2 linked regions of the Alligator mississippiensis genome follow. The protein of the gene in region 2 interacts with the protein of the main gene of each other region in a pairwise test. Links are inferred from orthologs where the notes say so. Each region holds a gene or a part of one and is shown on either strand. Other genes may lie near its edges.

Region 1 (7,371 bases), about 14 Mb from region 2:
CTTAGTTGCATTCCCCTCCTCACCCCCATCCCTTTTATGTTTCAGAGTGTCCGACCAAGGGACTATTTCCCGTATGGCTTTGTCATCTTTTTGGGTTCGTGATTCTTAACATTTACTAATAAAATTCAATCACTTTTCAACAAATAAGTTTTCATACTAATCTATACTAAATTAGGAGTTGTAGAAAGACACAGAGAGTCATGGAAATGGCCTTGTAGAAGGCACATGGCTAGGGCTGTGCAAAACGGCACCATTCCATTTCACCTTGAGTTTTGATAGAACAGTATTCCATTTTGAATTTCATTTAGAGTCAAAACAGTTGTTTCATTCCATCAAAACAGAAAGGCTGTTTTGACATTTTGCTGGGGATGGGAAGTCAGCTGGGCTGACTTCCCATTCCCCGTGCTAGATCGTGCCGGGGGGTCGGAGGCAGCCCAGCTGGGCTGACTTCCCATCCCCAGTACTAGATCGCACCACAGGGTGGAAGGAACCTGGGCTGCCTTCCGGCCCCGGTGCAATCTAGTGTTGGGAATGAGAAAGCAGCCCAGCTGGGCTGCCTTCTTCCCCCTGCCCTGGTGCGATCTAGTGGCGCGGATGGGAAAGCAGCCCAGCTGAGCTGTCTTCCACCCCCAGTGCGATCTAGCACCAGGGATGGGGATCTAGTGCCCCCTGCCAGATCTTGCACTGGGGATGGGAAGTCAGCCCAGCTGGACTGACTTCCCATCCCCAGGCTATGGTCAAGATGTTTTGACTTAGCCTTGTTTTGTTTTGAGGCTATTTTGACAGTCTTTGTTTCATTCTGATTTTGCTGTTTTGACCTTGAAATTGGTCAAAACAGTGTCAAAACGAAATGGTCGGTGATATTTCACACAGCCACCATCTTTGAAAACAAGAGCCAAGAGCACAGGTTCTCAGTATAAATATAGCTTCAATATGATGACTGCATTGAAAACATGATAATATGCTTCATGCAACATGGAAATATCTTGTATATAATGTATAAACTTTTTTTTTCATTCTGCTAGAAACTATTTAATAGTTATTTAAAAATAAATCCTTACAACAGCCAAATATCTTCTCAAGGAGTAGCAAGGAATGTAACTACTACTTATTTCTACATCCTGTTGATTTTACTGCCCTTCATGCTTTTTGTTACAATCTTGGCTGTATTCAACTGACTCGCACATTGCAAACCTTTGCTCTGCCCATAGCAGTTTGACCTGTGCTCTCCAGAATTCCATTACACATGCCTATCACTGACCACCTGCTATTATTAACTTAAAGTAGATATGGGAAATCAGTGGTTGAAAGATGATTAAGTAACTGTAGTGCACCACTAGCTAATGGATAATTGTGCTACTTCCCCTAAAATTGGAAGATGGGGATTGTGCTAAGGACCTTGGCTCAAGTCTCAGCTAATATAAAACAATGTAACTTTTCTGATGCCAAGGGAACAACACAGACAAAATTATAGTTTCAATCATTAAACACCAACTGAATTCAGATTTTACACTCAGCCAGCCTTTGTTTAAATCTGTCATCCATTACTGCTATTCAGGCATCTTAAACATTACAAATATTTATTTTTCTCTATTCCCTCTAGTCATCAGGAGCTGGGCTTCTTAAAAAAATACTGACTGTGTTCATTTTCTGTGATGGTACCATAGGAAGTCTGAGTCAAAGTAGTAGGTTTTTCTCTACAGACTGATGGACAAACTCATTTGAGTTCCAGATCAGTGAACCAGTTTCAGGGAAGGCTCCATCTCCCTTGTCCTTCTAATTTAGGACTTTGCTTGCAGAGTTTCATATATCAAGCCCCTTTTAAAGAAATTAAATGTAAAGAAAAACCATGCTTCAAATGTAACAAGATGAGACAAGTTACAGTTTCTTAAGCTATTTTTTAACCATTCTGTCAACATGCCTAACATTTTCCTTCCCATGTCATTCTTCTACCAGCTTCTGCTGACTATGAGGAGGTGCATGTAACTGCAGATGTTAAAAGCTCAAAAGATTATTTCTCTAGTAAAATGTGGTCCACATTGTGAGAGTTTAAGAGTTCCTGGGCACATCTACATGTGCTATTCATGCATTTTAGGCTTACTGCACAGTAAGCCTTCCCAGGGAGCACATCTACATATGCACCCCGTTGTTCCCACTCTGCTCTGCCCCAGTGCAGTAGCCAGGGAAAGCTCTAGACTCCCCCAGATGCTAGTCTGGGGGCTGGCAAGGGACACAGGGGCCAGGGTGGGTGATGATGTGCATGGGGCTGGGAAGACAGCACCGTTGCAGCCAGCAGAGCTCTCCTGTCCCTGTGCACATCAGGACATACTGCTGCCAGCAATGCCCCCTCTCAGGCTGGGTTTCCCTGCCTGGGAGGGGGTTTACTGGGAGCTGTCCCAGGTGTGGGGCAACTGCTAGTGAGCCTCCTGCTAGGCAGGCCCCTCCACTCAGCATGGGGCTGGCCAGGAACTGTTCTGCAAGTGGGGCAGCTGCCAGTGAGCCTTGTGCAGTTCCTGAACAGCTTCCTGCCAAATCGGGGGGGGGGGGGGCACAGGGCTGACCAGCAGCTCCCTTGCTTAGGTTCCCAGTCCCTGCCTGCCCCCAGAGCAGCTTTGCACCACACAGAGCTGAGAACTCCAGAGAGTGAGCGGGGGCTAGAGTTCCTACCTCCACACCATGCAGAACTATGCCAGAGAGTGAGCAGGGCTGGGTTCCCAGCTCCCACTCACTCTCCAGAGCTCTCAGCTTTAGGCTGGGAGCTGGGATTGGGGAAGAGGGGAGAGAGAAGAGAGTTCCCTAGTTCTAGCACTGATCAGCTCCAGGCAGGAGCTGTGCAGCACCAGGACTGGAGACAGAGAGCTCATCCTCTGTGGCCCTCTGGTGCCTAGTTTGACCAGGAGCAAATTTGCTCTTGGTCAGAGTCTACAAGTGCAGTACTGCACAGTTAATTTAGTACCTGTATTTACAGGTACTAACTGTGTAGACTGTGGTGCTTTACTGCACAGATTAATCTACTTTGTAGCAAAATGTCTCATGTAGATGCACCCCATGTTATGTCAGTTACAAACAAGGCAAAGCCAAGCCAAGCTGGCTCCTGTTCTAGTAAACATAGAGCAGGAATACAAATGTATTTTGGAAGCAGATAATAATGCCATGTAGAAAATAACTCTTTTGGAATAACATATGGAGGTATTAGTATTTGGGAAAAGAATTTTAGAAAGGCTGTCCCACATACTCTGTTTTAGCTCTGGGGTTTACCTTCCAATGTCACAAATATTCTAATCAGTAAAGGAAGCACCTGATGTTCAGCTTTGTTTCAGCAAAAGGGAGAGCACAGGGTAGGTATAATGGTGCCTAGCAGATACATTTGAACATACTCGAATTACTAGTGGATAGTTTAGGAGAGGATGGGCACCTTGAAAGGTCAGCATCACAGACACCAATTTACATAAGTAGAGGAGCTTGCCCACATATGGTTTTTCATGGTCAGTAGAAGTTCCTTCTGTCTGCAAGTTCCTCTTTATTTAATATGTATCAGCCTTAATCCATTTGCTGACTAGGTTCTCTCTCTTCTCAAAGTCCCTCAGGCTCAAAAGGAAAATATTGCCTCTGAAAGCAGCAGTGATTTTACTTTTTCAGAAAGTAACTGGATATAATTTACTACTCTGTTTATGACTGGTGACGATTTCCAGGAAAAATGCAAAGCTAGCTGTTTTGAGATCTTATACTGATTGTAACTTATCAGGTCATAGGCCTTTTTAGCACTAGAGACATCATTCTGGTTTAGTAATCCCTTCAGAGAATTCCTTCCAACAAATATAGAAGAGTGCCATCATGATGAGAGAAAGCTTTTCCTCTAAACTGTTTACCATCCAAAAATAGATGGCAATGAAAAGAATGCCTTCCCAAAACTTAAGGGGTCATCCACTTATCAGAAAGACATTACCACAAGTACTCTAAATGGGTCACTTACCCTTTCCGGTGTCTCATAGTCATTTGAAAGTCAGTAAAAAAAAGATATAATGCAATATCAACAGACAGCTGTCCTAGTGGGCACTGGGAAGTTAGAATGACTAGCATTTCTGAGCTATGGTGTCACTGACAAAGGAATGATGATCTCACATTTCATACCAATTCACATATTCAGTGCGGTTAGACAGTGAGACTCAACCTAGCTCCCAACTGATGTCCCCCCTTCTCTCTTGACACTAGATCTGGCTAGTTAACACGCCTGGAATGAAAATGAACCTACCTCTGAGCTGGCAAATCCAAGGGGCATATCTGGTTTCCCAGGTTGGAAGATTATCTCACCCAAGCTAAGTTCCCCAAAGATATATAAGCTAAGATAGGCTGGTGGTCTCAGCAGAGCTGACTTGAGCACTGGGTGTCTTATCCATAAAGGAGTACAACTAACAACAACCAGCAAACATGATGATGCTGAAAGTGGAGGATCTGGTAGGTAAAAGCTGCCTTTGCTCCCTCTCAATTACTGTTATTTCACGATTTTTATTGTAATTAGTCAATAACAGTGTCTTTGTTCATTATTATTACAGGCATCTGTAGAGTGATTGTCACTGCTGAATCATACTATGCTGAAAAGAGCTTGCTTTAAATTGTCCTTGGGGTTTGGGTTTTCCATTAATCTAATGAAACGGTTGACTATATTTTGGATTGGCATACAATGAACCAGGCAATTAGGTGTATACCTTTGATTTACTTGCTTTATTTGCTCAGATGCTGTATTTGTTTACAATTATGCACATGTGTTAACACCCAGTAAAAGATGTATGTAGATGTAGGTATGCAAGATTATCTTAACTTTTAAACCAAAATTAAAAGTTGCTATCTGTTCCTATACAAACTGTTTTCCATGGCCTAATTGACTTCCTGAAAATTAATATCTTAGGCAACAGATAGCTTGAATATTCTTCTTAGTGTTCATCTTAGTCAAATTGGATTGGATCAATAAACTAAGCAAATGTGACAAACTCAAAAGAACACTGGAATGTTGTTTGGAAATTTTTCTTCCTCCCAGAAGAATATGTTAGGATGAAAATGCCATACAGCATAACCAGTTAATGCTAGTTTTAAATTCTTTGGCAAGACCCTTCTGATTTCTACAGTGCTAAATTCTCCACCGCCAAAGTTGTACAACAGCATTTGATATCAAAAACATTCTGGATTGTATAATTTCTGTGAAATATATCCCCAAATGCACTGTGCCTTCACATAACTTTAACATACTCTCTTAATGGAGGTATGTAATCAACCGCAGGAAACATTTTTAGAAACTATGCCTACGCCTTGTGGCATTAGATCATTAGCTAAGGCAGCGTAGCCAACCTGTGGCATCGATGCCACAAGTGGCATGGACAAGCAGATGGGGGAGAAGACAGGCAGCAGAGCAGGAGATAGGGCAGGAAGCAGAAGCAAACCAGAAAATTGGGCAGGGAGCATAAAGCAGAGCAGTAGTTTGGGCAAAGGAAGGGCACCGGAGTGGCACCTGGAGAAGTTTCAGGGCTCATTTGTGCATGCCTGCCAAAAAGGTTGGTTCCCATTAATTTATTTGGGTTACAAAAAGCTACTTCATTCACAGGCAATATGGAACAACTTTTTACTGAGAGGGAGATACCCAAGGTGGGCGAGGGGTACCAAGTCTTTCTACCTTTTACTCCAATGAGTTTATGGAGAGTAGTACACAAGATAAATTAAAAAGGTAAGGTAGAGAAATAAACAGCAAAAAACAAACAAACAAAAGATCAAAAACCCAAACCCTGATTCCAGTTTTATAATGAGACTTATTCTGATATTGTTATTATAGTAGCAAGCAGAACCTAGCCAGAAAGACAATTTATGGCATGCTCTCTTATAGTAGGCCTGATCCACTCAGTGAGAGCTTCTCCATTGACTTCCGAAGTGTTGGGTCAACTTGTGAGTTAGTCCTTTATGACAACTGTCGTAACAGTTTAATTTGGCTTCAGAGTTTGTGAAAGTGTTGGGTCCCCAAGTGCCACATACACTCTTATGTGGGGACAGACAGACCACTTTCAAACAATAAGATGTTCATGTTTTTGCAGTTGGTGGATACTTATGATTCTGTACTGTAGGTTGCATAATATTTCATTCTCTTTTGCAGGTGACGGGGAAGAAGAGTAACAGCAATGAGACTGGAGGTTTCCTACCAGAAGACTTCAAACATGGAGAGTATGAAGCTACTGTGAGATTAGAGAAACAAGAGGATCTCAAGACACTCCCTGAAAACTTACTGGCCCAAAGAGATCTTACCTACAAAAAGGAGAAAAAGCTAGAGGCAGAGGTAGGCTCTTTGGTTTTGTGCTCATTTTTTATCATTATGTGGCAGCTGTACCTGTGAAGCCCTAAAAACTGTCCATGTCTTTTGTTCTGTTCTAACCAATGTATCTTTAATGGTGAGTCTAAAAAATAAAACCTTGACAAACCTCCACCCAGGGAGAACAGAGTACCTGACACTGAGTCCACTTAACCAACAGAAATCATCTCATTGACTTAAAACAGGCTTTCAATCATGTTGCGCTGAAAACAGCATTAGATGCTGCTTCATTTTTCACTTCTAATTAAAGAACCAGAAATTTCTTATCTTCCTGTGGCTAGCTGTACAGTAAGCAAAGGCCTGGCATATCCAATTTGTAAACTTAATAATCATCGCTGGCATCAACCAAACAAATAGCAATTGCAGTTTGGATCTCTCACCATTCCCCAGCATAGATTTAAGAGCATAGTTCTTTCCTGAGGTCCTTTTACCAACCCCAGCCCCCACAGCATGCTTTCTATCACACCATGCAGAAGTAGTAGCCATTAAAATGACTCCTGTCAAAACAAAATGAACAAGTACCTTTTTTGGGATATAGCAGCTTTTCATTCCCCCCCCGTTTGTTTACTTCCTGTTTCACAAAGCACTACAACAGGTCTCCCATTCATCAATGTAAATTAGCAACCTGCCACACTCAACACTTACAGCAGTTCAATTACATTAGAAAAATCCTACTTATTGAGAAAGAATCAGCAGTTTAAACAAAATAGTAGAAACAAGGCTTTTATTTACAAAGGAGGGGTATGTATATGAATATAAAAATATTCATAAGCCCAGAAATTACCCAATTTAACTAAGAGATTATCACTAACCAGAGAATTAATATTTTCAAACTCACTTATTGATGGAGTATTCACAAACATAATTATCAAACAGTTCTTGGGAATTTGATGCCTGACCCATGGCCTACTGAAAGTAGTAGGAAACTTTCCATTGACTGAAGTAGCCCACAAATCTACATTTTTAGTTAGTTAACAGAATGTAATACTGTTGAGTCAAACTAAAACTGGCATGAATCAGGC
Region 2 (7,476 bases):
ATTTCACTACTATGCATTTACAATGGAAACACTTTGCAATGATCTTTCTATAGTCATTTCTACTCTTTTTACTACTAACTTAATACAGTCTTAGGAATCAGAAAAAGAGCCCAGTTTAACAACATTTATGTGTGCAATAGCCACTTCTTTTGAAGGCAGTGGTGTTATTTAAACTTACACCAGTGTAACTTAACTCAGAATAACTCTATTAGAATAGAAAAACATTCTCAAACTAAATGTAGGTATTCCAGTTCAAGATGGTAGTTTGCATCCAAGAGGGAAAAATGGCTTCTAATGTCTAGGCAAAAACTCCTTTTTTTAGAAGCTAGAGACTTCTTCAGAACAGGAAACGAATATATACGGGCTGGAAGTATAGCCATTCTACTGTTTTCAGGAAAATCTCTTTCCTTTTATTATTCTCCTTTCTAGCAGGTTTCTCTTCTACCAGACAGAGGTCTGAACTCAGTTTAGCATTTTGGATGACATAAATGCAACAACCAGATTATGAAGAAAAGAAAAGACTCCCCTCCCCCAAACTCTTAATTAGACCAGAGAGTTTGAGTAAGAAACAAACATGCTGGAAGGTTATTGCCCCCAAGTAAGATGCTTTCCTTCAGTTTCAGCTTAGGAACACCATGCCTCTTCTATTGACAGCTAACAGATCCTTTGGAGGAAATTCACATTCCTGTCACTGACAAATCTGGCAAAAGATTCACTGTGATACTATAAATCATGGTCTAGCTTGGGGGATTGAGAGCATAGGCTCAATGGGGACAAAAATGGCCTGACAATCTCCATTTAGAATGGCTTCTCATAAATGGAGGAAATTCTTTTTGTCCTCTTTAGAAGGATTTTCCATAGTTGAAGACTGGCCAAAACAAAAGGAATTGTAGCTCTTCACTCCATTCCTCTTAACAGAGGATCATACTGCCAGGACTCCTTCTTTCTGAGAGATAGCAACCACTGGGGAGTGAGACTGAGAGCACAGAAGACAAATTCTTTACCCCAGAAATCTCTGAATGCCTTTCATTTGATGAAGATGACACTTACTAGGGAAGCTATAAACCTAGTGTTGAATGATAACTCTGAAGGCACAAGAAAGGCCCTTCAATATATTTTAGAAGGCAACTAAGATTTATCTAAGAAAACTGTAGGCAACTAACCTACTTTTTTAAAATACTAAAGTTATTAATAAGAAAATTAAGTAAATAGCATTTCCTTAGAAGACAAATCAAATTCTCCTTGTATTTACACTGACACAACCTCATCAAAGTCTATATGGTTACACCAACATAACTGAAAGAAAAAAATGCCCTATAATCTATATTTTAACAGTTTTAGGTTTAGAAATACCAGTGAAGACTGAGAATTCCAGGATAAAAGTGACAATTTTAATAATCCGTTTCCCACCCGACCTATATTTAATTTCCAAAAATCTTTACAATCACTTCCTATTTAGTCATCAATATCTCCCCAGCTGCAGGTGGAAACAGTGACTAACTGAAACATTTATAGATGGAGAAACTAAAGTTAAGTGTGAGGAATCATTGCCAGAATCTGGATTGGTATTGAGGTGTTTCTGGCTCTGCGGGGATTTTTAATCTCTTATTGATATACGTATTTTGTAATTTTAAAAAGTCTCTTGCTTATGCAATCCTGTACATTTTCAATTTAAATGTTTTCTTACTTCTTACTCATCATCATTAACATAGATTATTTCTTTTATGGAAACTGAGCAAATCTTCATAGTGAACAAGCTGAAAATACCTTTCTCAGCGATTTAATTGCAGAAGACTTGCCTCTTTAACAACTGTGCTCTAAAATTTAAAGGAAAAATTGTCCTTAAATGTCTTAAATTAAAATGGCAATAACTTTCTGGATAGTTTAAAGAAGACAGCTGGATTTATTTCTAGTCAATGGTAATAACCAAAAACCAAGAATTGCTTCTATAAATTACCATAAAATATATTTTAGCACGGTGGAGCATATACCTACCATTATCATAATGCAAAATGGCAAGAGTCGAATATGTTTACCTGACTTCAGGTGCTGGAATTCCTACTACAATGCAGTCCAATTGCACTTTGGTTCCTTCAGGAACTTCCCTGCTCTTCAGTTTCTGAGTAAAGCGTGGTGGTTGTCCAATAGGCTCATCAGAATAGAAGGATGTAGGTGCTGACTCCGTGTTTGCCAATTGATTCATAGCTTCAGAGTTTGCCTCTTGTTGATCATCTGTTTTTTCAAGTGCATGCTCTGAGTTATTGTCAGAGTCTTCAGGTGTTGGAATAGAAAGTCTCTCTCTGTTTTCTGATAGAGTTGGGAAACTAGAGCTACCTTTTTGAGCATCCTTGTTTTTAGAATCAAGTTTGCTCCTGTAGTTTTTGCATGTTCTAGGTCTTATTCTTTCTGAATTATGTGCTTTGAAAAGTGAGGAAAGCTCTTCAATAAAATCTGCTGCCTTATTTAGGAATTCTTTCTTTGATTCAGCTTCAGAAGGAAGCTGTTGTTTCTTTAGATCCTGAGAGCTCTTCTTGGAACCACTGACATGATCATGACAGAAGTTTGAGTGCAGAGCATTGTCTGAAGTTGGCAAAGCTGTAGACTGGGCCACTTGTTTATTTGAAACTTTTCTCACAGAGTTTTTCAGCTGATCAGAGGGATAATATGTCAGTTGTTCATCCTGCTTACTTTCAGGTGGATTCTGATCAATTGCTTGTCTTGCCAGATTTACACTTTCATCTAACTCTTCTTGGCTCAGAAAGGCAGAGAGATCTGGAAGGTCATCTTGGGCAGTTACCTCATCTGAATTCCCAGAAGTATTGCCATAATGGATAGTGTGTGGAGATGGTTCTGATCTACTTCTTTCACTGTTCCCTTGATGTTTAGTGTCAGCTAAATAACTCTCTCTCAGAAGTTGAGATATTGAAGTAGAAGTTTCTAAACTGTCGTCTTGCATGCTGTCAACAGAAAGGACAAATAGGACCACGCCTCATCAACAGCACAGAGTTATATAGGCCTCTGAAAAGCAGAATACAGTGTTTTAAGTGCCCTTGCATGCTGAAAATTAGCTGCAAATATGGCCCCTTCTTTTTAAATAAAGTTGCTTCTGTGTATATTCAGGTTCAGACATGCAACTTTACTAGGTAAAATATTTTTTATTACTTTTTACTCTTGGCAGTCTTGCAGAGTTAAAGAGGCTCTGGAATAATCTCTTGTATTCTATTTCAGGTAACATACCATAAACAGAATTGTAACTCAGTTAAAATTGCAAAATGTTGGTTATGTAAGAGCCAGAAAGACTTATGAAGAACTGGCAATCAGGGGAAAATTACAATACTTTTAAATTGAGGAAATTTAATCTGCACATCACTGAGAGACAATAAATCTTTTGACCTCACAAAATCATCTTGAGGAGATAAAAATATGCAAAATAATTTTTCATTGAAAACTCCTAAAAGATATTGCATTACAGGAAAATGCAGGTACAACATCTAGTACACTTTACTCAGATTCTCAGTGTGCAATTAATGTGCCAAATTATGAACATCTTACATTGTGGATAAGATGATGCAGGATACTCATTTTGTAAATTAAATATGTAAAATAAAGAAAAATGGACCTCTATCGTATACTTCAACTTGATCGTCCTTTGTGTTACTAGCTACTTAAACCCCTTTCTTAGAGTCGTGGGGCACCTACAGATGTACTGGACGCCTGCTTCAATGCGTGCTAATTAGCACATGGAACAGACTCGATTAATCAAGTCTGCTGGAGTGTCTCCAGTAGCCTTTGCGTCACATGTATTTAGCATCCCCATGCTTCAAAATGGCAGCAGGGGTGCTTTAACTAAAACTTGTCAAACAACTTTAGCTAAAGTGCCCCTGACACCATTTTGAAGTGAGGGACACTGAATACACGTGATGTTGGATCATATGTAAAGACACCCATGGGCACCATAATTAAATGCACTGTGTCCCAGGGACGCTGGGGTTAGAAGGGTACCCCGGGGCCGAACCAGGGGGGAAGTAACCATTTACTTACCCCACGCAGAGGCCGGGACAGGCAGGGACACGTGCGCGACGAGACTGCCAGCGCAGTTTGTAAGCCGCACTTATATACAGCTGGGGCCGGGCAACGCCGGCGGGAGACGCTGCCCGGCAGAGATAAAAGGCGGCCCTGGAAGCGGGGCCAGAAGGGAAGTGGGGAAAGCCCACAGGGAACCCCAAGAGCGGGACCCGCGCCCGCGGGGCCCATGTACCCAGCCCAACGGGGGAAGTCGTGGCAACGGCAGCGACGTCGGCAACGGCAGCTGCAGCAGCGAGAGCCGCACCGTTAAAGGGGCCGGCGAAGAAAGCTGCAGCTACAGCAGAGAGAGCTGTGTTCTTAAAGGAGCCGACGGAGAAGGTGGAGACGACGTTGGCAGCAAGACTAGAGAAGGAACCAGCTAAGGATCCGGTAAAGGAGCGGGCAGCGTAGCCGGTGAGGAAACCAGCAGCGGACTCGGCGAGAGAGCTGACAGATGGGCCGGCGGAGGAACCGGCAGTGGGACCGGCAAGGGAGTGAACGCCGGATACGAGGCTCCCAGAGAGCTGGAGCCACAGTCCTGGAGAGTAGACTCCCGGGGGAGTCGGTGGCCTTAAGCCACCCAACGGACTCTGAGCCAGGGCAGCCTGTCGATCGGGGCTTAGGCACCCAGGTCAGATTCCGGGCTAGGCGTGATAGAAGGGCTCGACTTTCTGTTTTGTTGTTCGCTTTCCTTTAGGCTCTCCTCTCATTTTGTGTTGCAGTGGCCTCGGGTCAGTATAGGCTAGGGGCAGCAGGGAATCAGGGGGTGTGAAACCCTCAAGGCGGACTCCAGCCTGGGAAGCTTGGTTCTCTGGAGTGGGGACCACCGGGAGGCACAGGACCGGAAACACGCCGGGGCCCCCTGAGGAAGGCCACTAGAAGACCAGCAGCAGCAGGTGGCGATTGGCCGGGGTGTAGGGGAGGTCGGAGTCCCGTGAGTGCCTGCCGAAGGCGCAACGACCCCAGGAGGCAGCATTAATGGAGACCCCCACCACTGAGATTACATTCAAAGTCGTGGCAGGCGAGGTTAGGGGGCCTCCCGTCACCACCCGAGGCACCTCCCGGGGCCCTCTCGTGAGCTTGTGGCCAGCGAGAACGGCCACCCGGGCTAGAGCAGCCCGGGAGCGCCTGGTCGAGCGGAGGCGGGCACAACGTGGTGCATTGGCCGGGAACATGGAGGACCCCAACGTGGATCCCTACGCCAACATGCAACCCGCGGCTACAGGCCCCGTCGATGTCCTGGGGCAGAACCTACAGGTTCTAGCTCAGATCCTGGACTCCCAACAACAGATGATGGGTAGGCAACAAGATTGGTTTCGGCATGGCCTAGCTTCCTTTAAGATGCCCAAAAGATGACGACCCGGAAGCTTACATTGAAGCCTTTGAGCGGCACGCCCTCATGACAGGGCTCGATCAGAGCTGTTGGGCTAGCCAGTTGGGCGCCCTGGTCGTTGGCAAGGCCCAGGCCGCTTATCGGGCCCTCTCGAGAGAGGATGCCCAGGACTACGAGCTAGTGAAGCAGGCCATCCTATACAGGCTGGAAATAAACCCGGAGCACTACCGTCACCTATTCTGGGCCAAAAAGGGGTCTGACGAGAGATGACCCAGAGTGCTATTATAACTATTGAGGGACCTGCTAGATAAGTGGGTGAGCCCAGCCGGACAGGACCGAGAAGCCCTGGCAGATCAAATCGTGCTCGAACAGTTCCAAAACGACCTGGAAGAATGGACACAACGTTGGGTCCGGCAGCACACCCCACGCACCTGCAATGAAGCCCTAAAGCTGGCGGAGGCGTTCACGGTCTCGGAGGCCAGCTACCCTCGAGAGAGGCGGAGCCCAGGGTACTTCCCGGGGAGCCCCAAAGAGCCGGAGCGCCGGAAGCCGCTGAGTCGGGGGGCTACCAGGGAAACCGTGTGCTTCCGGTGTGGCCGTAACGGCCATTTTTCTAGAGAATGCCCAAACCAAGCGGTGGAGCGCTGGATCCCTACCGACAGGTCGAGAGCCTCAACCGAAAAACGGAGGGGTCCGGAATCGGGCAAACCAATGGACTGTAGCTATGCGATCGGGGAGGAGAATGCAGCCTGGAGTTGCCCAGTCATGAAGGCCTGGGTGGAGGGTCGCCCTGTGCAAGCGACCCTGGATTCAGGGTGTGCCTAGTCACTGGTGAGGTCAGATCTGGTAGGGCCACAGGGCCGGCAGGGGGCCCACCCCGTGAGGATAGCTTGTCTCCATGGGGAGTCCCGACTAGTCGAGCGCCAGTGGGTTCGCCTCAGGGTGATGGAACATCAAGGAGAACTCCTAGTTGGGGTGGTACCGCGATTAGCATGTGAGATGTTATTAGGGCGAGACTGGGTGCCTGTGTACGATGTCTTGGACAGGGTAAGGGACACTGAGGTAGCCCGTAGAAAGATCCGAGACTGCGAAGGTTGGCTGGGCGAAATGCAGGAGGATGAGGAATTGGCGGATGAGGCGGGCGAGCTAGACCTCAACAACTTCACCAGCTGTCTACAGTTTCGGGAGGCTCAGACAGAGGACCCAGAGATCCGGGAGTTGCAGGAGTGCGCCCAGGGTCCCCAAGACATCCCAGCACCGCCGCAAGGAGGGCCTTCCTACTTCGAGGTAAGGAACCACCTCCTTTACCGCGTGCAAGGGAAGTGGTGGAGGGAGGCCTTACACTCCCAATTAGTGGTACCCACCCGATTCCACCAAACCATCTGGCGATTAGCACACGCGAGCCTCACGGGTGGGCATCTTGGATGGGACAAGACCCTTGCGAGGATAAGCTGGTGGTTCTTTTGGCCCGGGATGGGGGAGGAAGTGGCCCGCCAGTGTGCAGCTTGCCCCGAGTGCCAGAAGATGAGAACTGAGCGTCCGGCACGGGCACCCCTCCAGCCTATGCCCGTCATAGACACCCCATTCTCGTGGATAGCCCTAGATGTCATTGGACCTCTTCCCCGTAGTAGCTCAGGGCACCAATACATATTAGTGATGGTGGATTATGCCACCCGATACCCAGAGGCCATCCCCTTGCGAGCGGTGACCGCCCCGCGCATTGCGGAGGAGTTAGTAAAATGGATCTCCAGGATGGGGATCCCGCACGAAATATTAACAGACCAGGGGAGGAATTTCATGTCTGGAGTCTTGAGAGCCGTGTGCCGAACGTTACAAATAAAACAACTCCGCACCTCAGTCTACCACCCCCAGACTAATGGCCTAGTGGAGCGCCTTAACGGGACAATAAAATGGGTGTTGCGGCGCTGCATTCAGGGGGACCCCCGAAAGTGGGATCTCCTCCTCCCGCTAGTATTGTTTACCCTAAGGGATACCCCTCAGGACTCGATGAAGTTCTCGCCATTCGAACTAGTGTTAGGGCACCGGCCACGAGGTCTGTTGCAGGTCTTGAGAGAAGA

What was found.
Region 1: the proteins of MYPN (region 2) and ANKRD1 interact in a two-hybrid assay, tested with the Homo sapiens proteins (2 studies listed by BioGRID). The link is inferred for Alligator mississippiensis from reciprocal best matches to the Homo sapiens genes MYPN and ANKRD1.

Annotation. Positions count from the first base shown.
Region 1 is NC_081829.1:68,335,666-68,343,036, reverse strand, and holds the start of ANKRD1 (ankyrin repeat domain-containing protein 1), read left to right. Parts: upstream 1-4,370; 5' UTR 4,371-4,428; coding exon 4,429-4,455; intron 4,456-6,136; coding exon 6,137-6,316; intron 6,317-7,371. UniProt on the Homo sapiens protein: May play an important role in endothelial cell activation. May act as a nuclear transcription factor that negatively regulates the expression of cardiac genes. Induction seems to be correlated with apoptotic cell death in hepatoma cells.
Region 2 is NC_081829.1:54,651,601-54,659,076, reverse strand, and holds the start of MYPN (myopalladin), read right to left. Parts: upstream 3,012-7,476; 5' UTR 2,957-3,011; coding exon 2,037-2,956; intron 1-2,036. UniProt on the Homo sapiens protein: Component of the sarcomere that tethers together nebulin (skeletal muscle) and nebulette (cardiac muscle) to alpha-actinin, at the Z lines.